Linked DNA regions of Caenorhabditis elegans. The protein of the gene in region 1 purifies or fractionates together with the protein of each later gene. This does not show direct contact. Each region holds a gene or a part of one and is shown in the gene's direction. Other genes may lie near its edges.

What was found.
Region 2: the proteins of phf-5 (region 1) and Y26E6A.3 fractionate together in Caenorhabditis elegans (co-fractionation; one large-scale study listed by BioGRID). This does not show direct contact.
Region 3: the proteins of phf-5 (region 1) and C46F11.4 fractionate together in Caenorhabditis elegans (co-fractionation; one large-scale study listed by BioGRID). This does not show direct contact.
Region 4: the proteins of phf-5 (region 1) and sftb-1 fractionate together in Caenorhabditis elegans (co-fractionation; one large-scale study listed by BioGRID). This does not show direct contact.

What each region holds. Positions count from the first base shown.
Region 1 is NC_003281.10:2,340,647-2,348,257, forward strand, and holds phf-5 (PHD finger-like domain-containing protein 5A), read left to right. Parts: upstream 1-2,926; 5' UTR 2,927-2,933; coding exon 2,934-3,009; intron 3,010-3,445; coding exon 3,446-3,534; intron 3,535-5,767; coding exon 5,768-5,935; 3' UTR 5,936-6,683; downstream 6,684-7,611. Other genes in the region: ppm-1.D (PPM-type phosphatase domain-containing protein), read left to right, coding at 1,082-1,360; gip-1 (Gamma tubulin complex component protein N-terminal domain-containing protein), read left to right, coding at 6,949-7,021.
Region 2 is NC_003284.9:13,907,271-13,912,636, reverse strand, and holds Y26E6A.3 (Methyltransferase-like 26), read left to right. Parts: upstream 1-2,686; 5' UTR 2,687-2,750; coding exon 2,751-2,831; intron 2,832-2,908; coding exon 2,909-3,043; intron 3,044-3,324; coding exon 3,325-3,411; intron 3,412-3,459; coding exon 3,460-3,528; intron 3,529-3,700; coding exon 3,701-3,862; intron 3,863-3,983; coding exon 3,984-4,064; 3' UTR 4,065-4,266; downstream 4,267-5,366. Other genes in the region: Y26E6A.2 (F-box domain-containing protein), read left to right, coding at 1-126, 265-723, 1,089-1,412.
Region 3 is NC_003281.10:3,657,404-3,666,494, reverse strand, and holds C46F11.4 (RNA helicase), read left to right. Parts: upstream 1-2,190; 5' UTR 2,191-2,196; coding exon 2,197-2,275; intron 2,276-2,320; coding exon 2,321-2,448; intron 2,449-2,511; coding exon 2,512-2,582; intron 2,583-2,634; coding exon 2,635-2,886; intron 2,887-2,957; coding exon 2,958-3,137; intron 3,138-3,743; coding exon 3,744-3,915; intron 3,916-4,154; coding exon 4,155-4,331; intron 4,332-4,383; coding exon 4,384-4,515; intron 4,516-4,563; coding exon 4,564-4,663; intron 4,664-5,568; coding exon 5,569-5,808; intron 5,809-5,858; coding exon 5,859-6,038; intron 6,039-6,953; coding exon 6,954-7,389; intron 7,390-8,394; coding exon 8,395-8,683; 3' UTR 8,684-8,783; downstream 8,784-9,091. Other genes in the region: C46F11.5 (RING-type domain-containing protein), read left to right, coding at 8,994-9,091.
Region 4 is NC_003281.10:4,262,209-4,271,523, reverse strand, and holds sftb-1 (Splicing factor 3B subunit 1 domain-containing protein), read left to right. Parts: upstream 1-2,253; 5' UTR 2,254-2,257; coding exon 2,258-2,401; intron 2,402-2,473; coding exon 2,474-2,753; intron 2,754-2,799; coding exon 2,800-3,462; intron 3,463-3,514; coding exon 3,515-4,258; intron 4,259-4,308; coding exon 4,309-4,396; intron 4,397-4,800; coding exon 4,801-5,035; intron 5,036-5,085; coding exon 5,086-5,355; intron 5,356-5,414; coding exon 5,415-6,350; intron 6,351-6,397; coding exon 6,398-6,826; intron 6,827-6,875; coding exon 6,876-6,941; intron 6,942-7,328; coding exon 7,329-7,442; 3' UTR 7,443-7,741; downstream 7,742-9,315. Other genes in the region: R10E4.1 (BTB domain-containing protein), read right to left, coding at 197-357, 403-896, 1,105-1,253; depd-5 (DEP domain-containing protein), read left to right, coding at 8,476-8,649.

The sequences.
Region 1 (7,611 bases):
GAATACAAAAACCTAAACTTTTTCTGAAACATGATACATATGATGCTTAAATGCTGAGACTACCTGATTTTCATAACGAGACCGCTGAAAAAGTTTTGAGGTTTTCAAAATTCAACTTTTTTGGTGAAAAAGTCGAGATTTTCGCACAAAAAGTTGAATTTTGAAAACCTCAAAACTGTTTCAGCAGTCTCGTTGTGAAAATCAGGTAGTCTCAGCATTTAAGCATCATATGTATCATGTTTCAGAAAAAGTTTAGGTTTTGTATTCCCGTAATCCATCATTTTACATTGACCACTTTCACCGCTGCTTGCCCACTGAATACATGATTTTTTTACTTGGAAATTGTTTTAGCATCTGCAAAAAGTATTTATTTATCAGTTTTAATAAGAAAAAACGGGAAAAAGCTGTGAAAAACAAAAGAAAACAGGCGGAAAACAAAGCAAGATAAATGGCCGCTGAAACTTGTCGGCCCCTCGGCCATGGCCTAGAAACCACTTTTCCTCGTTCCTCGTGAGGAAAAAGTTACAGTGTAAAATCGTGAAAATTGCCTAAAATTTGACGATTTACACCTGAAAGTGCGCAAAATTCGAATTCCTCGTAAAATTTCAGTCTCGGGCGTCCGAAACCAAAAGTACGCAAACACCGACGACTACAGTACCCCCGGAAACACCGAATTTCACGCGATTTTCGAATTTTGAGCTGAAAAATCATGGGTAGACTAGGAAAATGGCGAGGAATTCGAATTTGATTCTAAAATTTTGCAGAAATTACTCTGAATCATACCAACGAAATTCCGAAATTTCGAACGTTTTTCGTTTAAAATCTGAAATTTTAGACAAAAAGCGTGAAAATTCGAGAGTTTTCGTGAAAAAAATTGGGAGAAAACTGAATTTTCAGCCAAAATTAGCTCGAAATCCGAAAAAATTAGATATTTAATCGAAAAATTGAAAATCGGCAATTTTTTGAAGAAAATTTTTTAAATTTCAGCTGAAAAATTGAGTTTTTACGTGAAAAAATTTGCAAAAAATTGAAAATAGCTCAATTTTTCCAAAATTTTTCAAATTTTGAGCCCATTTTTCAGGATCATCAACTCCTCCGCCCACACACACACGCCCCGCCTCCAACTCCATCTCGCTCCGCCCCCTCGTCGCCATCGTCGAAAAAATGTGAAATTTCTTCTTCGCTAAAAACGAGTAAATCGGCAAAAGCTTCATCTCTATCGAAACTGGATGATGGAATTATTCGAGTTTCAGAAATTGCAGACGAAGAAGATGATGATGACGTCACTATGATGAGGGGTCCACCGTCGAAAATGCGACGATTTTTTGGATATATGAAAAAAATGGTTTGGGGGAAGTAGTAATAAAGTTTTTTTTGAGATTTTTTAGACGTTTTTAGACGCGAAAATTGGCTGAAAATTGAGGCTTTTGACCGAAAATTTGCAAAAATCGAATTTTTTGGCCGAAAATTTTCATTTTTCGCAAAAAAATCACCCAAAAACTGATTTTTTTTTGTTGAGTTTTTTACAGAAAAAATTCAAATTTTGAGAATTTTGAGCTAAAAATTTGGGCAATTTTTACGGAGAAATGCTCAAAAAAATGAATTTTATGTTAAAAATCGAGTTTTTTCGCTTAAAAAAGTGAAAATTCCGCCAAATTTCAAATATTTTCCAGCTAAAAACTTTGTTTTTGGACTATTTTTTGGCTAAAAAATCCAGTTTTCACATTAAAAATTGCCGAAAATTTGAATTTTTGGGTCAAAAATCGCTGAAAAAGCAAATTTTCCACCTAAAAACCTCGAAAAATGCTCATTTTCCCCAATTTTCCCCCCGTCAAATTTTGAATAATTATCAACATTTTTCCTGGTATTTAAATTCACTGTCGGTCTCTCTATTTTTCCCCCATTTTTCCACTTTTCACCCCATTTCTCACTAGTTTGTATCATTTTTTGTGCTCCGAGCTTTCGATTCTTTGCTCTTTTACTCGAAGATCATCATCCATCCAATTTTTGTTCACTTTTACCGGCTCGCGGAGCACATTTTTCGGCATTTTTGGCCATTTTTTTGTTGGAATTTTTGAGAAAATTTCACAAAAATTGAAGAATTTTAAGCTAAAAAAGTGGAAATTTCAGCGAAAATATGGATTATTTTTACTGATTTTATCACTGAAAAATTCAGAAAAATTGGGATTTTCTAGGATTTTTTCACTGAAAAACTTGAAAAAATCCCACAAATTCTGGAATTTTCACTGATTTTTTTTCTGGAAATTTGAACAATTTTCAGCCAAAAACTGAAATTTTCCTGAAATTTCTCTAAAAATTTTGGCGAAAATTCAAATTTTCAGTTGAAAAACCAATTTTTCTGAAAAATTTCGCTTTTTTCTCCAATAAAAATGACCCAAAAATTCCAATTTTTTTTTTCAAAAATTTGTAAAATTTACTCGATTTCTCTCATTTGTTCTTTATTTATTATTAACTAAAATATCACAAATTTCTTATAACTATTCACCTCCCAATCCATCCATCTTATCCTAATTATTTGATTTTTTTTGTGAAAAAATAAGAATTTGAACATTTTCAGCTATTTTTTTGCTGTGATTTTTGACGTTTTTTTCGTCCATTTTTACCTTTTTTTTTGCTTATTTTCAGGGTTTTTTGTCTTTTTTTTAAGTTTTTTAAAGTCGAAAATTTGAATTTTTAATGATTTTCAAACAAATTTTCGATTTTTTTTCGTTGAAAAATTAAAAAAAAACTAGTTTTTCAAAAAAAAAATTTTTTTTTAATCAAAAGTTTTGAATTTTACCCTTTTTTTTCCAGGTTTCTGACGATTTTAACCAGAATTTCTGAAAATTTTAAGCATTTTTTAATGAAAAATTCTAATTTCGCTTCAATTTCAGCCCAAATTTAATTAAAAATCCATTTTTTACAGGCTTGTGATGGCAAAACATCATCCAGATTTGATTTTTTGCCGAAAACAGCCCGGAATTGCCATTGGAAGACTCTGTGAGAAGTGTAAGTTTAGAAAAATTATTGATTTTTCGCCTATAAACTACCGAAAAATTCAATTTTCCAGTGTAAAATTGGAATAATGTATCGATTTTCCTCGAAAAATCACTACAAATTCAACTTTTCTCTATAAGTTCCGAAATATCAAAAAAAAATTGATTTTTTTTTGAAAATTTAAATTTCCGATTATTTAAAAAAAAAGTAAACATTTCAAGCTAAAACTTTTAAAAAAAATTATTTTCTGATTATTTTCTGAAGAAAAATCGAAAAATGTGAAATTCTTAACCGAAAATGTAAAAAAGTTATCGATTTTAGTAGGAACATTCCTGAAAATTTAATTTTTCCTATTTAAAATTTATAAAAATTGGTGTTTATTGGCGAGAAATTCGAAAAAATAGTCTATTTTACAAGAAAAAACACTCAAAAAATTCAATTTTTGCAGGCGATGGTCGTTGTGTGATTTGTGATTCACATGTTCGTCCATGTACATTGGTTCGTATCTGTGAAGAGTGTAATTATGGATCATATCAGGTACAAAACACGCGGAGATCTACTGAAAAATGCTCAAAAATGAGTCGAAAATCATTGAAAATCCCGTTTTAAAATACAAAAATACAGTGAAAACTCGCAGAAATACGAAAAAATCGGAAAAATTTTGCAAATTTTGTTGTTTTTTGGGAAGTTTCCACCAAAAATCAACTGATGGCCGAACTCTTTGGATTTCTAGGCCATTGAAAACTGATTTTTCTCAAATTTTCAGTTAGAAATTGTGTTTCTCACCAATTTTCACCCCTAGAAGTTGTGTTTTTTTTTTGCGCAAGATAATTTGGTGGCCTAACTTTTGGGATTTCTAGGCCACCAATATGACAATGATGGTTTCAAGCCGTTTTTATCCTTTTTTTTAGAAGTTTTATTTGAAATAATGACAATAAAAACGATTTTAACTTGAAAATCGTGAAGTTTTCAGTTTAAATTCCTAGAATCCCCTAAAAATCTATGTTTTTTCCGTATAAACCAAATTCTATTCAGTTTTTGGATTTGATATCAATTGGTGGTTGAACTCTTTGGATTTCTAGGCCACCAATTATCTGAACTTTTTTCCCCTGTGACTCTTGTGCCTCTATTCGTATTGATTGCAGTAAAAACGGGTATTTATTCACATTTTCAGCCTTAAATCAGCTGAAAATGTGAATAAATACCGTATTTCTGCCAACAATTTGACAATAGAGCACATTTGTCACTCGGAGATGCGGAAGCTATGCCCAAATTTTCATTTTTCCCGAAAAACTTGTAATTTTTTACGGTTTTTCATTAATTTTTTTTTAATTTTTGAGGCTTTTTTTTGGCGAAGAGTCGCTTTTTAATCGAATTTTGAATATAAAAACTGAATTCTATGTGGTTTTTGGATTTAAAATCATTCGGTGGCCGAACTCTTTGGATTTCTAGGCCACAAAATTTTTGAACTATTTTCCCCTGTGACTTATGTGCCTCTACTCGTTTTTTTTTGTTTGCACTAAAAACTGTATTTATTCACATTTTCATCCTCAAATTGGGCTGAAAATGTGAATAAATACCGTATTTCTGCCAACAATTTGACAATAGAGCACATTTGTCACTCGGAGATGCGGAAGCTATGCCCAAATTTTCACTTTTCACCCGAAAACTTGTGAATTTTCACGAAAATTGAAATTTTTTGATGTTCCAAGTAGATTTTCGGATGAATTTTCGCAATTTTAGCTTTAAAATGCCAAAAATTTGGAATTCTTTAAGAAAAAAATATTTTAAAGTGCCGATTTACGCCGTAAATCGACACTACAATATTATCAATAATGTGCTGCGTGCGCATAAAACAAATACACTTAATCTGTGTATATTGCTGCGTCTTTGACCCCTCTTTTCCTTCGATAAAAATGGTAAAAATATCGATTTTTCGGTTTTTTCCTTGTTTTTTATGGAAAATTTGAATTTTTAAAGAAAAAATTGGTAAAAAACGCTGAAAATTCACTGGAAAAATGTGTTTTTAGCGAAAAAAAATGCCTCGAAATATAAATTTTTAATTTTTAATCTGAAAATTCCCGTGAAAAATGGGAAAATTTTCGAATTTTTCATGTTTTTTCGACTAAAAAGTCGAAAATTTTGTGAAATTTCTCGAAAAAATTGAAGTTTTCTCAATTTTCCAGCTTTTCCCCCTCAAAATGCTCCAATTTTCAGGATATTTTCATATATATTTTTTTTTTTTTTTTTTTTTTTTTTAAATTGTGAAAAACGTTGAAAAGTTCACTTTGGAAAAAGAAAAATATGGAAAAATTCAAATTTTCCACTAAAAATTGACATTATTTGCGGAAATTACCAGCTTTTCGGCGTAAAAAACGCTAAATTTGTCAGTTTTCCGCAAAAAATGCTCGAAAATCCAAAATTTTGTGAAATTTCTCTCAAAAAACGCGTGAAAAACGCTATTCAAAAAAGTGCAATTTTCAGCTTTTTTTTACTAATTTTTTCTTTAAAAAATTCAAATTTTTGACTGGATTTCTTCAAATTCTCCATTAAAAACGGGTTTTTACTCAGAAAAGAGGGGAAAAACCAGGAAAATTGAAAAATTTTCATATTTTTCGACTGAAAAATGCAAAATTTTGTGAAATTTCTCTCAAAAAACGAGTGAAAAACGGCAAAATTTACAAATTTTTCTAAAAAAAAATCGGAAAAACGCGAAATTTTCATGTTTTTTTTCGGCTAAAAATTAAAATTTCCATTTTTTTTTTTGCAGGGTCGGTGTGTGATTTGTGGTGGCGCTGGCGTCAGTGATGCATATTATTGCAAAGAATGCACAATTCTCGAAAAGGATCGTGACGGATGCCCGAAAATTGTGAATTTGGGAAGTGCGAAGACGGATTTGTTCTACGAACGAAAGAAATTCGGATCGAAAAAGTCGTAGAAATTGGCTTTTTGGCGGCGAAAATGAGCGAAAAATCACAAAATTTCGCCGAATTTTCACCTATATCACCTCTAATTTATCAAAAATGTTCCAATTTTCTGTTAATTTCCACTTTTTTCCGCTGAAAATTCCTATTTTTCTTGAAATCTGACTGAAATTTGGCTAAAAATGAGCTGGAAATATCGAAATTTGGCTGAAATCGTAAAATTCCCTTTTTGTTCCCTGAAAATTGAGCAAAAATGTCAAAATTTTGGCATTTTTGACCAAATTTTGCCTATTTTTGTGAAAATTTGCCTTTTTTTTTCGTTGTTTTTATCGAAATTTTGCTGAAATCGCGATTTTTTCCACTATTTTTCCCTAAAACATCCCTTTTTTACTGGAAATTTGGGCAACATTTTGGCATTTTTGCCTATTTTTGTGAAAATGTTACCATTTTATTGAAAAATTAGCTTAAAATGACAATATTTTCCTAAAAATTTCGAATTTCCGTGAAAAATAGCCAAAATGTCACTTATTTCAGTTAAAAATATGCCATTTCCCTGAAATTTGGCTGAAAATTCGCCTATTTTCACTTAAAATTCCGCAAAAAGCCCTTTTTTTCACTCAAAATGTTCAATTTTTCCCTGAAATTTGCCTGAAAAATCGATATTTTCACTCATTTTCACCTTAAAAATTGTCTTTTTCCCCCATTTTTTCCAATTTTCCTCTACCCTTTTATCAATTTTCGAATAAATTATCGATTTTTCTGTAATTTTTCCCTTTTTTTGCTGTGTTGTGCTGGTTTTGTTACCTATTTGTGTATATTTATCTCTATTTTTTACGGGAATTTTCAGTTTTCCCCGAATTTTTCTGAATTAAAATCACTAAAAATCGATTTTTCTTCCTGAAAATTGGGTAATTTTGCGAGAAATTTAATTTTTGTTTAAAAAAAAACTAAAATCTGAATATTTTTTGGAGAAAATTAACCAAAAACTTGAAATTTTATGAAAAAAAAATGGAAAAATTTCAGATAAATGCGTCGACAAGGCAGCGAAGAAGTTGAAGCTGTACAGCAATTTTTAAATGCTTTCGGGTTTCATGATAGAGGTAATTGGATTGAATTTTAGAAGAAAAAACACCGAAAAAGCCGAAAAATTGACTGAAAAATCGAATTTCTGACGAAAAAATGAGATTTTCCATAAAATATCAATAATTTCAAGTAAATATTCGAATTTCGAGGGGTACGGTAGCACCAAAAGTACGCAAACACTGTGGTACACCAAATCTTACGACATTTTGCAGAAAAACTCCTGAAATTATAATAAGAGTTCAGATTTTTTTCATCAAAAGAATATATTGGTGGCCGAACTCCTTGGATTTTTTTAGGCCACGATTTTCTGAGCCAAAAATTTTATTTTGAATTTTTCGTTCAAATCTCGTTTTTTACTAGAGAAACTCCAATTTCGGCTTTTTTTCTCTTGGTTGCCTAACTTTTTTTTTAGATTTCTAGGCCACCCATTAAAAATAGACCGTTTTATTTGATTTTCTACATAAAAACGGGGATTTTGAATTTTGAATAATTCAAATTTTAAAACCAAAATTTTAATTTTAAGTCTTTTTTTTTTTTGAGATATTTGAAATTTTCTAGACGGTTTTTTGGTGATGAATCGGTTTTTATTAGAATTTCAACTATAAAA
Region 2 (5,366 bases), on another chromosome or scaffold:
TCTCGTGACAACTTCTTCCGGCCGAAAAGTAAAAATGTGGAAACCAAGCACATCGAGCAAGATGATGTGAAATTGTTCGATCTCTTAAAACTTCCTCCGGAGATGATAGAGCAGATCATGCAACGAGTAAGTTTTCAATTCTGGGAAAATACTTCTAAAAATAAAAAAATCTGAATCTCTCCTTTTCAAAAAAACAACGTTAAACACTTTTTGAGCAGATGCACTTCCAACCGGATGATTCCTAAGATTAAAAAAAATTTTCAGTCGGCTTACAAAGACGCTCAAAGTCTAGCAATCACGTGCAGTGCTGCCAATAACATTTACCGACAGAATAGTCTGAAAATGGTGCTCCCAGATGTCATTTTGATTCTTGACTTCTCCAGTGGCGAGATGAATGTCCGATGGATATTGGAGAAAAATCAACAAGAAAATGAAAGCGATCCAGACTCTGAAAAATGCTTGAATCAATCCGAAGTCAACGAGAAGAAGAAAACCCAGCTGCTGCGTAACACAACTATTTTAAAAATTGTCACCACTGATGATTTCGAACCGGAATACTGTGAAGCTGTGCACAACTTCGTTGGATCCAGAACATTTAAAAGAATCATTGTCAAGGGTTTCGAGTACACGGAGAATTTGAAAATGATGGTGGAAATGTTTGACAAAGAAGTTGTGGAGATTGAAGTGAACGCACTAACTGACGACTTCATTCCGTTCCCAGATGTGAGTTGTACTTAGAATTTGAGAAAATTTGAATTTTTCGTGTTATGGTTTAAAGAGCGTTCCAAAAAAGTAGGATCATGCAATAAGTTAATAAAAATTCCAATATCCCCTAAAAGTTTTAAATGCAATAACTGAGACGCAATTCAATTTTAAAAGTATAGATTTTTTTTGGCCGACTTCCAATTTTTTTGACCATAATTGCAAACTTTCAAGTTTTTAAAAATAATTTTTTACAATTACATCAAGGCAATTTAGTACTTCATGAGCTGATTTAAATAATTTCCCTACTGAAAATACTCTACATTTTAATTTAAAAATAAATTTAAAATAAACAAGTGTTATGTAGAAGCAATACAAATTTTCAGATCAAAACCATATCCATCCGCGACACTCTCAACAGGGATCACGGAGAACGGCTCTTTTCTGCGAAGCATTTTGTCAACATCAATTGTGCTCTCAACAATATCGACACATTCCGAAAAGCTCTTCGTGATTGGGATAATGGACACCGAGAAGTTGGTAGATGGGTAATTCTGAAACAATTCACCATCTTCCAAACACCCTTTGGTAGACGTCATCGGCCGAAGACTTCCTTCCGAAAGGGGTATTTGGAGTTTATCAGTGAGCTCAACTCATCACAAATGCCACATGGAGAAATAACCGAATACGTTTTTCACGAGACTAATTAACATGATTCTTAGCGAAAATGAAACCAACTAATCTACTTTTATGAGAAAATTATTTATTTCTTACATTCCCTAAAATTTTCTATATAACAATTTTTCTATAGTTTTTTATAACAGTTTTTTGTAATATTTGTTGTCACTAATTCTTGTTCATCTCAAAAACTATTAGACTCCAACCCGGTTTTTTTTTCACACAGCTCATTCCACTTCTAAGTTATTGTTTTGTTTTGTCAAATCTCCAATTCCCAAGCAAATCTATTATCCAGTCATTCATGTTGATGAAACAATAAACTTTGGTACACTTTTTGTAGATTGGTTTTCGTCATGCATTTTCAGTAGTAAAAAAATCTAAAGCGTGATACATTTACCGCAAAGTAACATTTATGGGTTAATACTGTGGTATAACAAAAATGGCCTCAAACAACCAAATATGTACCACCTATAGTATGCCAACCGGCTTAACATGTGCCTAAATCGATTAAAAAACAAGAAGTAAAAATAGAAATATGCCTAATAAGTTTATAATTAGAACAAATTAATTTCAGCGTTCTGCGAGTGCTGATTTCAGATGAATTTGATTTTTTCTTTTGAAATTTTATATATTCGTTTTGAGTTTTGTTTTACTATATAATGTCGAGATTTGATTTTTCTAGGAAATTGATAAAAATATTTAGGTTCAAATTAAAGTATATAAAAAAGCAAGATCTAAAAAAACTCGCAGAAAACGCGCTCTTTTAATTTTTGTCTTATTACTAAAATTTTCAGCTGAATTAGTTTCCATTTAATATTTGAAACCTTTTAAAATACTTCTAAAAGTTGAAAATTATTAAGAAAAACAAAAATTTCACGAAAAACAAAACAAAACATTGATGCCCTACTTTCTCTGGCCTTATACGTGGCAAGGCTTGCAGCTCGCTTTGGCTGGCAGGACACGTGTAACTTTTGCACTCTCATTTTTTTCACAGTTTTGTAAACAAAATCTCTTTTTAGTTTCTTTTTTCTCTCTTTTAACCGTTTTTTTTTGCTATTCCTCTTTTAATCTGCCTTTTGCGCATTTACACTGTACTTAACTTTTTGCCGTTCGTTCGCTCTTCTTCCCATGCATAACACTTGCCATTCCTCCTTTTTTCCCACACAAACAACAACTATCGATTTCTGGTATTCCAATCTTCTGTTGTTTTTTTTTGTTTTCTCTCTTACCAGTCTCTTCATTCTGGTTAGCATCTATCTCAAACTGTTATAAACCCTATAAAAAGTGCGCGCGCGTACCTTTCTCTTTTACCACTGACTGTTTCACATTTTGAATCAAATAACAATTGAACGTAGTTGCAGCGATTGGTGATGTTGAGAGCGCCAGCTGCCGAATCGAACAAGGATGTGATTTTGGAGGTGTTGAGAAGATTCGCAACATCTGGAAAGAAAGTAAGTTTTTAAAAAATGTGTTTCACATTTTTTTAAAATGAAAACATTAACGATATATATATATTTTTTTTTTTCAGGTGTTCGAGCTAGCTTCTGGAACTGGACAGCATATGGAACATTTTGCACGGGCTCTGCCGGATGTCACTTTTCAACCGACTGAAGTTAATGGTCGATACCTCCATTCCATCGTTTCTTATTTGGATCAAAGTCAGGTTAGTCAGCAGTTAGTTGCCCTGCCCAAATTTCCACTTTTCACAATAGCAAAAAAGAGATAATACTTGAATTAAAATGACTGCATTTTTCCACACTCCTGTTGAAAAACCTTTAAAAAATTTTAATTGCCAGCAATTGACAGAATGTTTTAACAAAAAACCACACTCCAGACTGTTGGGGTGAACAATAATTCTAAACTAATTTTTGATTTCTCTTTTTTTACAACTTTTTATGAAAACTCAACTTTATGTTTTTGTAACCATAAAGTAATATTTTTCAGTTTCCAAACGTCCGCATCCCCCTCTTCATCGACGTTGCAAAACCATTCAATCAATGGGCTCTTCCTGCGGATTTCGGACCTCATATGGTAAATTGTTTCCAGACTATATTGGAAAATAACTTCGTTTTTTTTCAGGTCGACATTGTTCTCAATATCAACATGATTCACATTTGCTCCACGGCTGCAGTTAAAGGCCTTTTTCAAGTAAGTTTTTTTTTTTGATAAATGTCAAAGGTGAAATACGAATTTCAAAAATAGTAGGATAAATTTCAATGGGACTGAATTTTTTCTTCAAGTTGCAAATAATTTTGAAATAAAAACAAATTTTATCACATCAAATTCAAACACTTCTGAACTAATTTAACCTTTTTTACAGTCTGCCGACTTGCTTCTTCACGAGACGAACGGAATCCTCATGACTTATGGACCATATGCAGAGGATGGACACATTTCACCACAATCAAACATCGCATTTCATACAAATCTGAAAGCTGAAGATCCGGAACATGGCCTCAAGGATATCAAATATCTGGAGAGGGTAAGGAGATTTTTTTTTAAAGTTAATCTCGGTTTTATTACCATGAAACTGAACGCTTAGTCAGAATTTTTTTCGAGAATTTAAATATAAATTCATAGTTTATAACATATTGAATTTTCAGCTTGCAAACAGTTCGAACCTCCGTCTTGCCGAAAAGATTACAGTTCCGAAGAATAATTTCATTTTGATCTTTTCCCGTTAAACGCTTGTACTTTTTATTTTCAATCTGTTCTCCTGTACTTGTAATACTTGTAATACGCTAGATTTTCAGCGATGCATGGCCTTGATAACTCCTTTTAACTGCAAATAATATTTGCAATATTACGCTCTTTAATATAATATAAAGCATGTTTGATTTCAATATTCTATGATATATGATGATTTTAAAGCATTTTCAAGTGTAATTAATTTCTCCATTTTCAGGTTGAAGTCGATATTAACAGTTGTCTTTTTGAAATGGATTCCAAATTGCTATTTAAAAATTTTATTCAAATATTTTACCTATTGGAAAATAATTACTCTTTTCAAGAAACCATTTTCGAACTTCCTCAAGAAACGTTTCAAGTATTGAAGCAGGTGTTTTGCCACCTTCATGTTATGTTTCTTTGACGCAGTTATTTCTGGTCTAGTGAGCAGAGCCGATTCTTGGTGTTAATGTGAAGTCATTCTATAACAGTGGAACTAGACATTTCAAAAAGAAGTGCGCGGATGTCAAATTAAAAAAAAAACTTAAAAAAAAAAATTTAAAAAAACTCTGGAATTAAGAAAAGATTGACTATATGGGTGATTGTACGGATATTTTAATGCTTTAAGAATATTTGATTGGCATTACAGAAATAGATTTTGTTCGTTCTGCTGAATTTAAAATTGCAGCTGAACCCAGCAGCATCTAAGCACAATTACTAATTTTGCTTGTTTGTATGTTTCGATTTGCTATCACCAAATAGTTTGCGCGTGTGATTTTTATTTTTTTATTTTTAAGCGTTTCATTATTTTTTTTTAAAGTTTTATCATCTATCATTTTGTGACAAGTAAAACTTTGTCTGGTTTATCTGATCTGACCAGAAATCGCACAAACGGGTAATAATCCTTTTAGCTTAAAAGTATGAACATTTCAATGTCGCTCGAGTAAGATCAAAAAATCAATCTAAGAAAAAATAGCGCTCAACAATAAAAAGTATTTTTATATTTATTTACTTCATTTTATTTACGATCAGCTTTTCTTTTAAATTTGAATTTCATTTATTTGTGTGCAAGCTGCTAAAAAAGTTTCTTGATGCATTAAAAAACAATTGATTTCAATATTCATATTACAAGTGCGTGGAAACTTCTGGTTTTTTTTTCAGTTTGTGTGATTTGTAACAAGTATACAACAAATGTTTATAGGCAATTTTCCAGTTAAAACATCTGCTAGGAGATCAACAAAAAGTTCAACAGCCGGAAAATTGGAATTCTTGGTTTCCCAGCGTGATTTGTGTCGAATATTGAAGCTACATTAATGAGC
Region 3 (9,091 bases), 1.3 Mb from region 1:
AATTTTATTTTACTTTTTTTTCAAAATCATTTCAAACCCTCGTTACCTTTGTTGGACTAAAGTCCATCCAGCGACAAAAATGTTTGTTTGTTTTTTCTGAACCTTTTTTCCCCCTTTTTTTTCTGGGATGAAAAATTTTTTTTGCGAATTTTTTCATCCCAAAAAAAAGGAAAAAAAAATTTTTCCACCACGGGACACTGATTTGGAAATGAAACTTAAATTTCTGGAGTTCAAAAAATGAAGCTTCCAGTGGACACTTTAAAAGTGGACACACTGATTTGGAAATGAAATTTTAATTTATGGAATTCAAAAAATGAAGCTTCCAGTAGACACTTTAAAAATGGACACACTGATTTGGAAAAGACGAATAAAAAATAATATTTTATTAGTGTCTTTAATTTTCATCAAAAATTTTATTTTACTTTTTTTTCAAAATCATTTCAAACCCTCGTTACCTTTGTTGGACTAAAGTCCATCCTTGACTGACTCCATTGCCATTTGCACACCGTCCCGATCGCTCCAATCTATCCTGATCCACGTTCTCCACTGCCCCCGCCCCATCTTTCAGTCGCTACGTTTCTCGAGGTCCCTCTACTCATCCAGTATCCATCAGTTTATTGTGTCATCCTGAAATTCTAATTGTTTTGGAACTATTATGTACACTTTCTCGCGCAGTTTTTTATTTAAACTTTTTCAATTTCTAAACATAAAGACGAATTGCTAACTCAATTAACTTTTGTCATTGTTGTATTCAAAATGCTCTCCAAATTTCAAAACAAAACGACAAATTAACCAATAGCTAAGTATAGCTCTCGTCTTCATTCTTATTAAACATTTTTCTGAAAAATAACTGATAAACTCACATTCTATTCTTGACCACTGTCCTCTGCAGCTACCCGGCCATTCCAGCCTCATCCACATGCTCCTCGGTTCCCAGTCCAAAGTGGTATCGCTTCGCTGCTTGCTCGACGACATGCCTGACCGCCCATCCGTTTATTGTGCCACTCTGAAAACTGGTATTGTTTAGGAACTAATGTGTGTTTTAAATAATTAAATTCTGCGTGAAATGGTTTTTTCTCGCAGTTACTATTTTCAAAATTGTTTCATTTCTAAAAATTACCTTTTAAAGCCTATCAGCTTACTCCAGTGTCCAACCGATCGTTCCAGCTCCACCCTCATCAACGTGCTCCATGACTCCTCACATTCTCAGTGTGCCACGCTGAAATTCGAATTGTTTAGGAACTGTTATGCACACTTTTTAATTTCAAAAAACAAAGAATAATTGCTCACTCAGTTAACTTTTGCCACTGTTGTATTCAAAATTACTTCAAATTTCAAAACAAAAAGACGAGTTAACATATAGTTAGCGTACGTCTTCGTTCTTGTTAAAGTTATTTCAGAAATGTCTGAAAAGTAGCATTCGAACTTACGTTTCAATATTGGTCACTGTCCGCTGCTACCACCCGATCCTGTCCATTCCATCCGGATCCACGTGTTTTTCGTCCGAGGCCTCGGCTTCCGACACGACCATTGATGCCGCTGGTTGTTCGGCAACATCCCACCACCGACCATGCACTGACCATCCACAGGACATCCACAGGACATCCACAGGCCACCCACAGGCCATCCACGGGCCAACTGCTCCCCACTGCCACTGCCAGAAGATTAGAAGTTTCCAAAACTTCGTACTGATTTGAAAACCGTATTTCTGCCCCTTATATAGCAAGAGCTTAGAGTTTAACTAATGGATTAGTGTGCCACGCTAATATTTTAAAACTTTTGTGAACTTAAAGTCGCGGGAGAAAATAAAAATTGTTTTTTTTTCATGGTGAAAGGGTAATTTTCTCGTAGTTTTTCCGTTGTAATTATTTTTAATAATTTTCTCGTGCGACCTTAAGGTCATAGTTTTTGTGTTTTCTACCCACATTTCTTATAATTTCAAAATATAATATTTTCTCTCTTTTTTTTTTGAAATATTTCAATGTGGAAAAAATGATTTTCTTACTGTAGTTACGTACTTCAACAATTCAGCAATACATAAACTACGTGCGGCAGCGTTGCGAAATGCGCGCGGCGTGTTGCAAGCGAAGGCCACGCCCACATTCTCCCTGTGACTGCGATTAAACGACTTTTTAAACATGTTTAAACATCATTTTCCTCCAAAATAAACAAAATTTATTATGTTTTCAGGCAAAAATGTGGCGTGGAAAATATTCAGGAGGATATCAAAATCGATTTGTAAGCGCAAAGAGTTCGGGAACCTCCAGTTTGAGTGGTAAATCGATATTTTCACGTATTAAATGAATTTTATTGTTCTCAGATGGTAAAAGTATGAATAATGTACCTCCTCCTGCAGCTTTAACAGTCGGAAATGCGCCTGTTCCACCACCAAATCGGAATATTCTCTTGTCAAATCGAAAAGAGCAAGAAATGAAGAAGGAACAAGAGGTTTTTAGTTTTCATGAAAAAATTAAAAATTTTCAACTTTTCACTGGATTATTATTAATTTAGTACGCAAATCTTATGGCTTATGGCTCGACGTCTGAGAAACAATCAAGAAGGAAACGGATTTATGATGATGAGTAGGTTTTTTTTTCAAAAAAAAAAAAAGAAAATTAATAATTTCAAATTTAGATATTTAGAAGGCGGCTCAGATGATGAAAAGCCCGCTTCTTCCTCCTCAAAACTTGCCGCCGATGACGATGATGAAGAAGATGAGCTCGACGCATTTATGGCCGGAATCGAAAAGCAGGCTTCCAGTGATAAAAAAGTTTCGGAGCAAAAAGAGAAAGATCGGAAAGAGGGAAAAGATACGGAGGATCCGAGTAAAAAAGGGCTTGGAAGAGCAGATATTGATGAGGAGGATATGCAGGAATCTCTATTCAAGTTTGTACAGGAAATTTTGAATTAATTCATGAATTTAAAATCAAATATTAAACAATATAAAAGTTTTCCAGATTCATGGAAGAGTACAAAGAGAAACACGAAAATGATGATGAGCAATTGGAATATGATGAAGATGGAAATATTATTTGGTCATGGAAAAAGGTTATCGATCCATTGCCAGATATCGATCATTCACAGATTCAATATCAAAAGTTTAATAAAAACTTTTATGAGGAGCATGAGGATATTAAGTGGGTTCAGGATAAGACATTTTTTTTCGCGGCAAATTCACAAAATTGGCTTATTTCAACAGAATAATCGAACTTTTTCGAACTAAAACTGATATAAAAATGTAGGAAACAAGGTTTTCTATCTGAAAATAACATTTATTTTTGATGAAAATCTTGAAAAATACCTCAAATGGTGCCGTTAAAAAAATTTCAGCGAACGGTAATTTTCAAGTTTGTCAACAAAAATAAATATTATTTTCAGATAGAAAACCTCGCTTTCTACATTTTTATATCAATTTTAAATCGAAAAAGTTCGATTATCATGTTGAAATAAGCCAATTCTGTGCATTTTCTGAAAAAAATTGGGTCTCGACGCGACATTTTTGCTGATTACAAAAAAAGTTCGTGCGCTTTTATAGAGTACTGTAGACGTTAATTACTGTGGAATTTTTTATCGATTTTTCATAAACTATGAAAAATCGATTAAAAAAATTCCACAGCAATAGAAGTTTGAAATTACAGTATTCTTTAAAGGCGCACACACTTTTTTGCATTTAACAAGTCGTTTCGAGACCGGTTACCGTAGTTTTGGAGCAAAATTTCTATTATCAATCAAGAAATTTTCAGACGCTTACACTATATGGATGTAATTCGCCTTCAAAATACAATGAATCTTCGAGTTGGAGGCCTCAAGCCGCCACGTCCAGTTTGCTCGTTTGCTCATTTTTCATTTGATAAGCTGTTAATGGAAGCAATTCGGAAGAGTGAATATGAGCAGCCGACTCCGATTCAGGCCATGGTGAATATTGATTTTTCAGATTTTTTTGCCGATTTGCCGGAAATTTCGATTTTCGGCAAACTGTGGGTTTGCACATTGTCACGGAATAATTCAATTTTAATCGGCAAAATTGTACGCATCCTATGAATGTTTCCTTGCCGGAATTGAAAATTTCCGGCAAACCGACAATTTTCCGAAAATCAAAATTTCCGGCAAATCGACGATCTGTAATTTATCGACAAAAAAATTAACATTTTCAGGCGATCCCCTCTGCATTATCTGGAAGAGATGTTCTAGGAATTGCCAAAACCGGATCAGGAAAGACTGCGGCCTATTTGTGGCCTGCAATCGTTCATATTATGGATCAACCCGATTTGAAGGCTGGAGAAGGCCCGGTTGCAGTTATTGTGGTTCCGACGAGAGAATTGGCAATTCAGGTTTTTGGAAATTCAACCAAAAAACTTGAAATATAAAAAATAAATTTTCCAGGTATTCCAAGAGGCCAAAAAATTCTGCAAAGTTTACAATATTAATCCAATTTGTGCATATGGTGGAGGTAGTAAATGGGAACAATCAAATGAATTACAGAATGAAGGAGCTGAAATGGTTGTTTGTACACCGGTTAGTTGAGAAAAATATTTATTTTTAAATTTCAAAAGGCTTTTCCAGGGTCGAATCATCGATTTAGTGAAGATGGGAGCCACCAATTTCCTGCGGACAACTTTTTTAGTTTTTGATGAAGCTGATCGCATGTTTGATATGGGATTTGGTATATTTTTTTGAAAAAAACTTATAGAAATGGCCGTATGTCGATTTACGCAGCTCGTGTATTTTCCCGAATTGAATTTCCTCCTCGAGGAGTACACGAGCCAGTGGAAACCGACAAATTTAAAATTGCCGATTTGCCGGAAATTTTCCTTTTCGGCAAAATTGCCGACTTTCCCGAAATTTTAATTCCGGTAATTTGCCGGAAATTTCAAATTCCGGCAATCTTCCGATTTGCCGGAACTTTTAAATTCCGGCAATTTGTCGGTTTGCCGGAAATTTTCAATTCCGGCAACTTGCCGATTTGCCGGAATTTTTCCATTTCAACAAAATTACCGATTTTCCCGAAACTTCAATTCCGGCAATTTGCCGATTTGCCATAAATTTTCAATTCCGGCAATTTGCCGATTTGCCGGAAATTTTCGATTCCGGCAGTTTGCCGATTTGCTGGAAATTTTCATTTTCGGAAAATTGTCGATTTGCCGGAAATTTTCAATCCCGTCAAAGTGCCGGAAAATTCAATTCCGGCAATTTGCCGATTTGCCGGAAAAAGTCGTTTGCCCACCACGAGCCTCGTAAATCGAAACATGACCGCGACGAAAAATTTCGAACCAAAAACATTGAGTTTTGTGAGAGTTTTTAAACCAGAAAAATGGCTCGATTATGGATTCGTTGCCGTAACATTTTTCATCTTAACACGTAGCAAATTCAAATGAATAATTTTTGAAAAAAAACCTTAAAAACCGTTAAAGCCAAATTTTTCTTTGAAAAAAAAACCACAAAGCTTGTTTTTTTTTTTGGAATTTTTTGGAATTCCTTGGTTACTAAATTCACAGCAATTAAATATACAATTATCAAAAAAAAAAAGATGAAAATTTGAAAAAAAAAATCGAATTTCCATTATTCCAGAGGCTCAAGTAAAATCAATATCCGATCACGTCCGCCCGGATCGTCAATGCTTAATGTTCAGTGCGACTTTTAAACAAAAAGTGGAACGACTCGCCCGAGATGCTCTCGTAGATCCCGTACGAATTGTACAAGGAGAAGTTGGAGAAGCGAATGCTGATATTGAACAAAAAGTTTTTGTAATGCAAAATCAAGATGTTAAATTGCATTGGCTTATTCGAAATTTAGTGGAATTTGCTTCTCGTAAGATTTTTATTATTATCAAATTTTCCATAATTTAAACCATTTTTCAGTCGGAAAAGTGCTAATTTTTGTCACGAAAAAATTGGATTCGGAAGACGTCGCGAAAAAGTTGAAAATGAAAGATTTCGACATTGTCCTTCTACATGGAGATATGCTACAAGCAGAGAGAAATGAAAATTTATTGAAATTCCGGAAAAAATCGCAAATTCTCGTGGCAACTGATGTGGCAGGTAATAGTTTTACTGGGAATTTTTTTTTGAAGTTCGAAAATTCCAAAAATCTTAAAAATATAATATTTTAATTTAAAAAATGTGAAAAAAAATAACGAAAAAGTATATTTCTGTAAAAAGTGAATTAATTTATTTTTTTGTAAAATCAAAAATCCTATTTTCGGTTGTCTAAAATAAAAAATGTTAACAAAAATCAAAAAAGAACCGGATATTGAGAATTTTTTTTAATTGAAAAAATTGAAAAAGAATCGCCCAATTTTTTAATTGAAATTATTTTTGGAACGAAAGAAAGTATAGATTTTTAACAGGAAAATCAGAAAAAAATACAAAAAAAATGAAATTCGGGATTTTTTAACACAATTAAATTTTAATAAAAATTAAGACAACAAAAATTGAAATATTTTGACTTTTTTCAAAATTTTAGCAAATTTATGAAAAAATCTAAAATTTTCGTTTTTTTTTTACATTGAAATGTCGAGAAAAATTGCTCGATTTATTGAGATTTCTCCAAAAAAATTAATTTTTTTTCGGAAAAAAAGAAAAAAATATAGATTTTTAACCAAAAAATCTGATTGAAAAAAAAAACGAAATTCGGGAACAAAAATAAAAATATTTTGACTTTTTGAAAAATTTCCTAAAAATCTTTTAAAGTTTCGTTTTTTTTTACATCGAAAAGTCGAGAAAAATTGCTCGATTTATTGAAATTTTTTTTAAAAAATTGAATATATTTTTTCGGAAAAAAATAGGAAAAAAAAAACAAATATTTTCTCCAATAAAAACATTTAAAAATTGGCGATTTTCAAGTTTTTGAAAATTTTGGAAACCGTAAAAAAATTTTTAAAGTTCTAAAAATCTAAAATCTAAGGTTTTTAATCAATTTTCCCTAATTTTCCGATCAAAAAATTAAATTTTCAGCACGCGGACTGGATATTTCTGAAATTCGAACCGTAATCAATTTCGATATGGCTCGTGACATCGATACTCATGTTCATCGAATTGGAAGAACTGGAAGAGCTGGTCACAAAGGAACAGCATACACTCTTGTTACTGAAAAAGACATTGAAATGGTCGGACATTTGGTCAAAAATCTGGAAAGTGTATCACAAGAAGTACCAAAACCTTTAATGGATCTTGCAATGAAGAGTTCATGGTTTAGAGGACAAAGAGCTGGGAATGGAGGACCAAGTACTGGAACACAGACACGTGGAAGAATGGGTCTTGGATATACACCAAAAGTTAGACAAGTTGGAGGAGGTGCCACTGGAGCACAATTTGATCCATTAAAAGAGCAAAAAAGTTGTAGAGGTGGAGGGAATCAGACAGTTGATGGAATGATCAGAAATGCACAAAGGTATAAATTTTTAATTAATTTTTTAATAAAAAAAATAGCTACCGAGACAAGGAAAATGTAAAAATTGTAGTTTACGGATTTTCCGGAAAATCGAAAAATTATATTTTGAAAATTAAAGAAATGTGTCGTTTTTCCATTTTTTTGAAGGGAAATCGAAAAACTAACAATTTTTGAGTATTTGATGTTCCGAAAAATTAAAATAAAAAAATTCAGAGAATTAACCATAAAATATTTTTAAAAATTTTCATCTAATTTTATTTTATATTGATAAGAAAAAAACACATAAAAATTTAGGAGAAAAGAGATCAAAATGTTAAGATTTTTTTTAAAAATCGGAAAATTTTACTAAATATCGGAAATTAGAAATAAAACGAAAATTATCGGTTTTCAAAATTCGAAAAACCGACACCGTTGGTGCTGAAGAAAAAAAATAAATTTTTTACTAAAAAAAAGAAAAAAGTGGCAAAAATTTTGAACTATATTTCGAAAAAGAAAGAAAATCATTTTTTAATTCAAAAAGAGTTATTTGCACTTCAAAAAATTGAAAATAGACCGAAATAGCCAAATATAAGTGTTAATCTAAATTCTAAATTTTTTACGATTTTTTTTCAATTTTCCCACAAAAACGGGCTGATTTATCTTTGAATTCCCGCAAAAAATGGCCTAATTTCGACATTTTTGGGGGTTTTCGGCTATAAAATTTGGTTCTCTTAAATTTTTTTGTTTGATAATTGATTTCAAACATAGTCAATCAAATTTTCAGAAGTTTTACGCGACAAAGTTTAAATTATTGATTTTTAGGAAATTTTTCAGAGAAATTATCAAGTTTTTTATACGGAGCATGTTTAAAAATGTGGGAAATTGAGTTTTAAATAGAATAGGAATTAAAAAAATAATTCAACAATTTCCAAAAAATTCAACAAAAAAAATTTCTAATAAATGACAGTATTTAAAAAAATAATTTCATCCACCCCACCACATTTAACATAAAAATCGAATTTTCAGCTTTGCCACGTCATCCTCTTCCTCCTCCTCTTCAAGCAGTGGCCCAGCTTCCGGAGCCAATAGAGCCCAAATGCTCAAAAGTGCATTTCAGAAATCATTCCAAACAACATTTCAACGACCTACAAATGAATCTTCAAATCTTCCACAGCAAGTAGCATCAGATCCAAGACCAGAATGGAAAAAGAAAGTGGATGAATTGAATGCAAAGATTGCACAGCAACAGGCTTCTTCAGCTTCTGGTGGCTCTTCGAGCAGCAGCTCTTCCTCAAAACGAAGCAGATGGGAATAAATTATTTATTTTATTTTTTTATGTTTTGATCCGAGATTCTATTTAACATCTTTTTTCTCTTTTTTTCCAGATTCCAGATCTCATAAAAAAATTTGTAAAAAAATGCCGATTTCGCAATAATTCAATAATTCCCGAAGCGTTTTCTCATCGCTCCCATTCTATCTCTTATGAGTTTCAAAGAAAAAAAGAAACAACTGTTCTGTTTTTAGGTTGACAAAAAAGAAAATAATAACAGATGTGAAGAGAGTTATCGATTTCTTTTTTTGGTTTTTCGTTGAAATTTTAAAATTTTAATTTAAACTCCAAAATGATGGAACGGATACGAGAAAGTGGCCGGAGACTTCATCAAGTCTATCGAGAAACTATCGAATGGAGGAATCCGCTTACTGGATTATATTTGATGGCTGT
Region 4 (9,315 bases), 1.9 Mb from region 1:
TCAAATTAATATTTTTTCCGATGGTACAACCCATTTTCTTCATTTCTATACCAGTTTTTCATTCATTCAATATAATGAATTATAACATTGAAACAAACAGTTTTGTAAGTTTTGCAGAAGATTTGCCGCCCACGCTTGTTGTAGATACCGGGAGCAATTCATAGTAAATTCCCCACAAGTCCACGTTTGAACGTACCAAAACTCTTTGCATCTTATACTTTTCCACGTAAGAGAAACATTTCTCCGTCTTCTTCTGATATTCATGATAATGTGCACACATGAACATCTCACACGCATCCACAATTGGTTGACATTGATAACGATCTGCGAGTTGGAGAAGATAGTCGAGGCTTTTCTCTGCAAATTTGATAATAATTCGATTCTCAAAATTGTGGAACATACTTGTAACAGGTTGTCTGTGTGGATAAATACATCTGAGGAAAGTTATAATCTCACGGAACTTCTCTTTCATCTCATAGATTTCTTTATCTTCACCCAATTCTCCATAGAATAATGCTTTAAAGAATGGAGACATCATTGACAGATATCTTTTATTCACACGAATAAGACGATCTTCAACTTTCAACAAAGCATTCTCTTCTTCTGGTAGAACATCAAAATAGTCGTAGAGCATTCCGAAGTTCATAGTTTTAATGACATTCACTGTGATTTCTACTCTCATACTTCTCAGCTTCTCTCGAACCATATGATCTTGAAGCTTCAATGGACGAAAGTAGACATGATTGGATCCTGTATATCGTCCAGTAAACTTTTCGCTTCTCACAGAGTTTGTAACGTGAGCCCGAATTTCGAATTCAACTTCCGCTGACCAGGTGGCTGGAGTTTTGAAGTAAGCAGCAAAGCATTCGAAGGAATTTGCACGCAACTCAATTTGCCTGACAATTCAGTTTTGTTATGGGATTATATTATTTCTCAGAAGCAACGTTGATCGATTTCCGTGCAAAAATACGGTTTCTCGAAACGACAATAAAGAGTACTGTAGTTTCAACTTCTTAAAAATTATGTTTTTTTTTAACCATAAAGCCAAAATTCAGCGTTTTTTCCAGAAAAGTGAACAATTTATCGTTTAGAAGTAAAACTGACCATTTCATACACTTCAAATGAATCCAATATCTGTAGACTTTGTGCTCCTCGTCTAGGACCAAATCAAGAGTCTTGCTACTCTTAAAATCATCACTTAAATCCACAATATCCACTGGATACTCTTCAGCGGCAGCCTTGTTCGGAGCCATTTTCAGACTTTACCCTGAAATTTTCGATAAGATTTTGTTGGGGAAAAAAGAATCTCATAAAAGGAGAAAAGGCATGAACTGAAAAAGAAGCACGTGGCAGACCGAAAAAAACGGGGAAATCGATAGAAAAGGGTTGTAGGGGCAAGGAGACATCTAAACAACACACATGCTATATGCTGCCCCAGTATTCTGCGTCTCTTCTCTCTCTCTCTCTCTCTATAAGAACGAGAAAGCAAAAACATGATAAAACCACTTAAAAAAATAAGAAAGCTTTTATTTTAAATAAAAATTTAAAAATAAGAACATTTTAGTTATGCTTCAATTTTAAAGTGGCCACAATGTTGGTGAAAAAAAATTAATTTTTAAAAAAGTTCACAATTTTATTGGAAATTTGCTTATAAAGTCGATATACGTCGAAAGAAACACTAAAAAACAACAAAAAACAGAAAAGACCTACTAAAACGAGCAACTCACCATATTCCAAATGAAATGTCAAAACTCTTGAAGTGAACACAATCTTCGATCTTCCTCCACTGATCGGAGAGCGCGCCAGCAGGTGCTGTTGGCGCGCGACCGGTGCATTGACGCGATTCTCGTGCAAAATTTCGAATGCAATTTTCGCCTTTTAAGGGACAGTTTTCAGTTATTTTACGTTTAAAAACTTTTAAATTATTTAAAAAAAAACAACAGAAAAACTTTAAATATTGTTGTCTGTCTGATGTTCATAAAAATTCGTAAGATAATCCATTATTTTTCAAGGGTATTAATATTTTAGTTTCTTGAGTGTATTTCTTTGAATATTGTTCATTGTAAAAGGATTATGGTTTCCATTTCTTTTTAGTGATTTCATTAATAAATTTTTGCAATTGTTTATTACAATTTGAAAATGGTTTCGCGCAAGCTATCGAAGTTTAGGATGTTGTTTTCTAAATCTTTTCTAAAAAAAGTTTTTTTCCTTCCAACTTTAATCTTTCTTCCATATAATCAATATTGATTGTAGATCGATGTCTCGTTCAGGCGAGGCTTATGCGCAGGAGTTGAACCGCAAAAGGGTCGCAAACCAGCGTGCCGCGGCAGCCGAAGACAACGATGAGAATAAGGGAAACGGAAATAAAGTGGCCTTCGGAGCCGCTGGTAATTTCGACACGGTTAGTGAATTCTAATACTTTATTTGAAAATTTGAAAATTCTCTATTACTTTTTGAATCTTTTCAATTTCAGGATGTTTACGGAAGTGTTCGTGGTGAAAATCGGGATAGTTACCTAGACTCGATTGGAACCGGAGAAGAAGATGACGTCGATGAGGATTCGATGCCGAGTGTACAAAAGAAAAGTACAAATTATGCACAGCCACACAAATTCATCGAAGAGGTGGCTGCTGCCTCCGAGGACACTGATCCATTCGCAGATACTCGCACAAAAACCATCGCAGAACGACAATCCAAGTATCACGAAAGAGCTATGAGGAGACAGATCTCTCCAGACAGAGCGGATGCTTTTGGTAAGATCGAAAATCATTTTGACTTTAATTAAATTTATTCTTTCAGTTGATCAAACTCCTGACAATCGGAATCGAGGTTACGCAGAAGTTATGCGTGATCAGATGTACCATGAAGAGAAAGGGCGTGTTGAACGGGAGCTTGCCGATCGAGCAAAAGCTGGAGAGCTTCATGTTACTGGACAGCCAGAGAAAAAGAAAGGAAGATGGGATGCTGAAGCTCCATCAACTGATGCATCTTCTGATAATCTTGGTGCAGCTTCTGCAACTCCATCTCAGGGTTCTGCTCCACGAAAAAGATTAGGATTTTCGAAGATTAGTGCAGATGCAGCAACACCAAGAGCTGCTAGATGGGATGAAACACCGGCTCACTCGACTGGAGCAGCTGATGCAACTCCTTCTGTGGATAAATGGTCAACGACTCCGGCAGCACAGACCCCGAGAAGAAATCGTTGGGATGAAACTCCAAAAGAGAATCTCAATGATGGATCAATGACACCGGGATGGGGAATGGAGACTCCTGCTAGAGGAGGATCAGATGATGTTAAGATTGAGGATACTCCATCCGCATCGAAGCGTCGTTCACGATGGGATCTGACACCATCACAAACTCCGAATGTGGCAGCAGCTACTCCACTTCATTCCGGATTACAGACACCATCATTCACACCGAGCCACCCTTCACAGACTCCAATCGGAGCAATGACTCCAGGTTTATTACAAAATATTGTAATTAATATAAAATTAATATAAAATATATTCAGGTGGAGCAACTCCAATTGGAACGGCAGCAATGGGAATGAAAACACCAGCTCCTCATATGATTCCAATGACACCTGAACAAATGCAAATTTACCGATGGGAGAAGGAAATTGATGACAGAAACCGTCCATTGACTGATGAAGAACTCGATTCACTATTCCCACCTGGCTACAAGGTTCTGGTTCCTCCAATGAACTACATTCCTCTGAGAACACCATCACGGAAGTTGATGGCCACTCCAACTCCAATGGGTGGAGCTGCTGGTGGAGGATTCTTTATGCCTGGAACACCAGATAGAGATGGAATCGGAGAGAAAGGAGTCGGTGGTCTGGTGGATACTCAACCTAAGAATGCAGAATTACCACCTCTAAAGCCAGATGATATGCAATATTTCGATAAGTTGTTGATGGATGTAGATGAGAGTCAACTCACGAAAGAAGAGAAAAATGAACGGGAAATTATGGAGCATTTATTGAAAATCAAAAATGGAACCCCGCCAATGAGAAAGAGCGGATTGAGAAAAATAACAGAAAACGCGCGAAAGTACGGAGCAGGTCCACTTTTCAATCAAATTCTTCCACTTCTCATGTCACCATCGCTGGAGGATCAAGAACGGCATTTGATGGTAAAAGTTATTGATCGAATTCTATACAAATTGGATGATCTCGTCAGACCATATGTGCATAAGATTCTTGTCGTCATTGAGCCACTTCTTATCGATGAGGATTATTATGCAAGAGTTGAAGGTTTGAAAATTTAGAATAAATTTTAAAATTTAAAAATTAAATATTTTCAGGTCGTGAGATCATTTCCAACCTTGCAAAGGCCGCTGGATTGGCAACAATGATTTCTACAATGAGGCCTGATATTGATAATGTTGATGAGTAAGTTTGTCGACAGTTTTGTTGATTTTTCAATTAAACAAACACCAAATATATGGTTGTTCAATTTTCCCTGGAAAACAGTAAAAAAATTGAAGAAATATTAAAAATTAGTTTGAAACTATAGAAAATCTGGCAACTTTTGGCCATTTTTGAGAACTTTCTGAAACGTTCCAGCTGAAATTAATGTTAATTTCAGATTAATCAAGTGATTTTCTATAGGTTTACACTAGTTTTTAATTTAAAAAAGTCCGAAAAGACCGAATTTTTTCAAAAAAAGTTTTAAAAATGTATTTTTTAGATTTTTAAAAATCTCACTATGAAATTCGGTATTTGCGGGTCAGTTTTAATGAATTTAAAGCAGAAAAAACATCACAAAGCTTTTAATCAAACCCAAAAATTTGCAGATATGTCCGTAATACAACCGCTCGTGCATTCGCTGTCGTCGCCTCAGCTCTCGGAATTCCAGCTCTCCTCCCATTCCTTAAAGCTGTGTGCAAAAGTAAAAAAAGTTGGCAGGCTCGGCACACGGGTATTAAAATTGTTCAACAAATGGCCATTTTGATGGGTTGTGCAGTATTACCACATTTGAAAGCACTTGTTGATATTGTTGAAAGCGGATTGGATGATGAACAGCAAAAGGTTTTCTTTTTAATTTCTAAAGTTTCTGGAATTGATGCAAATCGTTTCAGGTCCGAACTATCACTGCTCTCTGCTTGGCAGCTCTCGCCGAAGCTTCATCTCCATACGGAATTGAAGCTTTCGATTCAGTGTTGAAACCTCTTTGGAAAGGTATTCGTATGCATCGTGGAAAAGGTCTTGCTGCATTCCTTAAAGCTATTGGTTACCTGATTCCATTGATGGACGCAGAATATGCTTCATATTATACAAGAGAAGTGATGCTCATTTTGATTCGCGAGTTTGCATCGCCAGATGAGGAAATGAAAAAGATTGTTTTAAAGGTGAGTGATATAATAACCAAAACATTCGTAGAACTATCGTTTAACATTTAAATTTGCAGGTTGTCAAGCAGTGTTGTGCAACAGACGGAGTAGAAGCGAGTTACATTCGAGACGAAGTACTTCCAAGCTTCTTCAAAGCATTCTGGAATCAAAGAATGGCTATGGATCGTCGTAACTATCGCCAATTGGTTGATACAACTGTGGAAATTGCTCAAAAAGTCGGATGCGTTGAGATGATTGCTCGAATTGTTGATGATTTGAAGGATGAAAATGAGCAATACAGAAAAATGGTTATGGAAACAATTGAGAATATTGTAGCGTTGCAAGGAGCGACTGATATTGATGCTCGACTTGAAGAACAACTGATTGATGGTCTTCTTTATGCTTTCCAGGAACAAACTCAAGAAGATTCTGTGATGCTTGATGGTTTTGGAACAATCTGCTCAAGTCTTGGACGACGTGCCAAGGCATATATCCCACAAATCTGTGGTACTATTCTGTGGCGTCTCAACAACAAATCTGCAAAAGTTCGTCAACAAGCTGCTGATTTAATTGCCAGAATTGCACCGGTTATGCATATGTGTGAAGAGGAGAAAATGATGGGACACATGGGAGTAGTATTGTATGAGTATTTGGGAGAAGAATATCCAGAAGTACTTGGATCAATTCTCGGTGCATTGAAAGCAATTTGCAATGTTATTGGAATGACCAAAATGACTCCACCAATCAAAGATTTGCTGCCAAGATTGACACCAATTTTGAAGAATCGTCACGAGAAAGTGCAGGAGAACTGTATCGATTTGGTGGGAGCAATCGCTGATAGAGGATCTGAATTTGTATCTGCAAGAGAATGGATGAGAATCTGTTTCGAGCTTCTCGAATTGCTTAAAGCTCACAAGAAAAGTATTCGAAGAGCTGCAATTAATACATTTGGATTTATTGCAAAAGCTATCGGACCACATGATGTTCTCGCAACGTTGCTCAATAATTTGAAGGTAGGCTCGGATTAGAAGTGATTCTTTTAAAATAAATTATTTTTCAGGTCCAAGAACGCCAGCTCCGTGTGTGTACAACAGTCGCCATTGCCATTGTTTCGGAAACTTGTGCCCCATTTACAGTACTTCCAGCAATTATGAACGAGTATCGTGTACCTGAAATTAATGTACAAAACGGAGTTTTAAAAGCTCTTTCATTCATGTTCGAATACATTGGAGAAATGGCAAAAGACTACATTTATGCAGTTGTTCCGCTGCTCATTGATGCATTAATGGAAAGAGATCAAGTTCATCGTCAGATTGCAGTCGACGCAGTTGCTCATCTTGCTATTGGAGTTTATGGATTTGGTTGTGAAGATGCACTTATTCATTTATTGAATTATGTGTGGCCCAATATGTTGGAAAACTCACCGCATCTTATTCAACGATGGGTGTTTGCATGTGAAGGAATGCGAGTTTCGTTGGGACCTATTAAGGTTTTTATTTTAAATTCTTAATAATTTCAAAAATTAAAATTCATTTCAGGTTCTTCAATATTGCCTGCAAGCTCTTTGGCATCCAGCGAGAAAAGTTCGAGAACCAGTGTGGAAGGTAATTATTTTAGTTTCCTTGAATTTTCAATTACAGAAATAGTGGAAATATTCGGAATATAGCTTTTAAAATATTTATAGAATGTTTCTAATTTTTTAATGATTTTTTTCAATTGAATTTTTATTTTTCAGAGAAAATTTATTTTTATTGTGAAATATCTTCTTTTTTTTCGACCAAAAGTGAGCGACCGGAAAAATTGAAAAAGGAAAAAATTAAATACAGGTTGCGCGGGAATTCAAAAATGTTTTGGTACTTCTCAAATTTTCCGCAAAATTTAAAAAAAGATTAGAAAATTTCTATAAATTTTTTAAAATTTGTATTCGGAATATTGAGACGTTTTTTCCACAAGCGCTAAATTTTTATGTAATTTCATATTAATATTTCCAGGTCTTCAACAACCTAATTCTTGGCTCCGCAGATGCTCTTATTGCCGCCTATCCACGTATCGAGAACACCCCAACAAATCAATATGTCCGCTACGAACTTGATTATAATCTTTAAATAATTTTCTAATTTTTGTTTTTTTTATTTGGATCTCGATAACTTATTTTTCTATCTCCGTGTTCCCTCCCTCCTTTCATCACATTTTCATAGAAAACGAAACCTTTTATATTTTAATCCCATTTCCCTCCAAATATTCTCTTGAATCTAGATTAATCTAACAAAATTGTTTTGGTTGTCAGTGGTTTTTTTTTGTTTTTCTATTACTTTTCTCCAATATCAATCAATTTATTCCCAAAAAAAAAAACAACAACAACTCTTGCGATAGATATTTAAAATGAAGACTTGTCAAATTATTTTAATGTTTTAAAGAAATCCCTTTTTTTTTGTTGAAGTCAAATTTCGCTTATTTTTTCTCGTTTAAAAATTTTTTAAATACCTTAAAAAATATCAGAGTTTCCTAATACTCTCCAAATATAAAAATAATTTTCTAATTTTATTTTTGGCAAAATTATCTTTAAAAAAGAAATTTTACAAATTCTTTCAATATTAGTTCCTTAAAAACGAAAATTTTGCGCTTTTTGCAGCAACAGTACAGTGGCTGGTCTCGAAACGACAAATGTGTATTAAATGCAAAAATGGTGTGCGCCTTTAAGGATTACTGTAGTTTAAGAATCTCTTTGTTACGGAATTTTCATCGATTTTTCATAATCTTCTTTCAATTTTTATTTTTCTAATCGAAAAACTTTTGTTTGCACAGAATTTTCATCGATTTTATCTCAAAAATATATTTACTCATACAAATATTAAAATACTTAAAATTTGAACAAAATCTATGAAAATTATGCAGCTACGATATTTTTGTTAAACACATTTTTGCATTGAACTAAAATTGTCGCGTCGAGACCGGTTACCGTATTTTTTGTACAAATGTTCGCGTCTTTGTAATAATTAAATTCTCTGAAAATTAGTTTTTCTCAAAAAATCGATTTTTTTCAGTCATCCCTTCCAAGTGAGCAAAAGAATTTCGAAAATCTTCGTTCAAAAGCGCAGGTGCTGCTTTGGTCCGTGAAGGCGGTGTGGATCCACGGGGATGGCGTTCGAAATAGCTGGACCCAGCAGCAGCAATAACTCAAGTCAACGGAGAGCAACCACTGAACCACCGCCTGAAAATGAGCTACAACTTGGACTTCACGAGGCACAGAAGATGACATGGAATGCTAAAGTCGTGTATCACACGATCGACAAATGTCCGCATTGTGATCCGGTTCGTAATGGATAGGGCACAGAATTATTCATTAAAATACTGAAAAATTAAAATTAAAGTAAAGTTAAAATACTCAAATTACCTCAATAGACCGGTTTTGATGGATTAAAAATTCGAAAATAAACTTCGATGAACTAAATTCTCCAATTTCTCAACTTCCGTGTAATTTCTCAACTTCCGTGTTGATGAATTAATTTTTATTTAATTATTTACTTTTGCACGTTTTTTTCTCTCTTTTGCATTTTCTGATGATTGGAACGATAATCTGGACAATTTTCACTGAAAATACGCAAAATAAAAAAGTTATTAAATAAAAATTAATTTGCGACATGGAAATGTTGGTAAAATTCGAAGATTTTAAGCAATGTCCAATTTTTAGATGATTTTCATGAATTTTCCAAAAAAAAAACAGCTGAAATTATATTTGAATTTCCGCACAATTGTATGTCCAGAAAATGCAGAAATTTCGAAATTAGGCAATTCATTTGCTTGGGAAATCAAGTTTAATTCAGCCGGTTTTTTAAAAAATTGTTTCGGAAAAATCTCTACTCCTCCCTTTAGCATTCTTTTTTCATTTTTAGGCATTTTTATGATGCTTCATTTTGAAATTCAGTCTTTTTGTAATTTTGATTTATTTTATTTTAGTTTTTCCAATAATTTTGATCA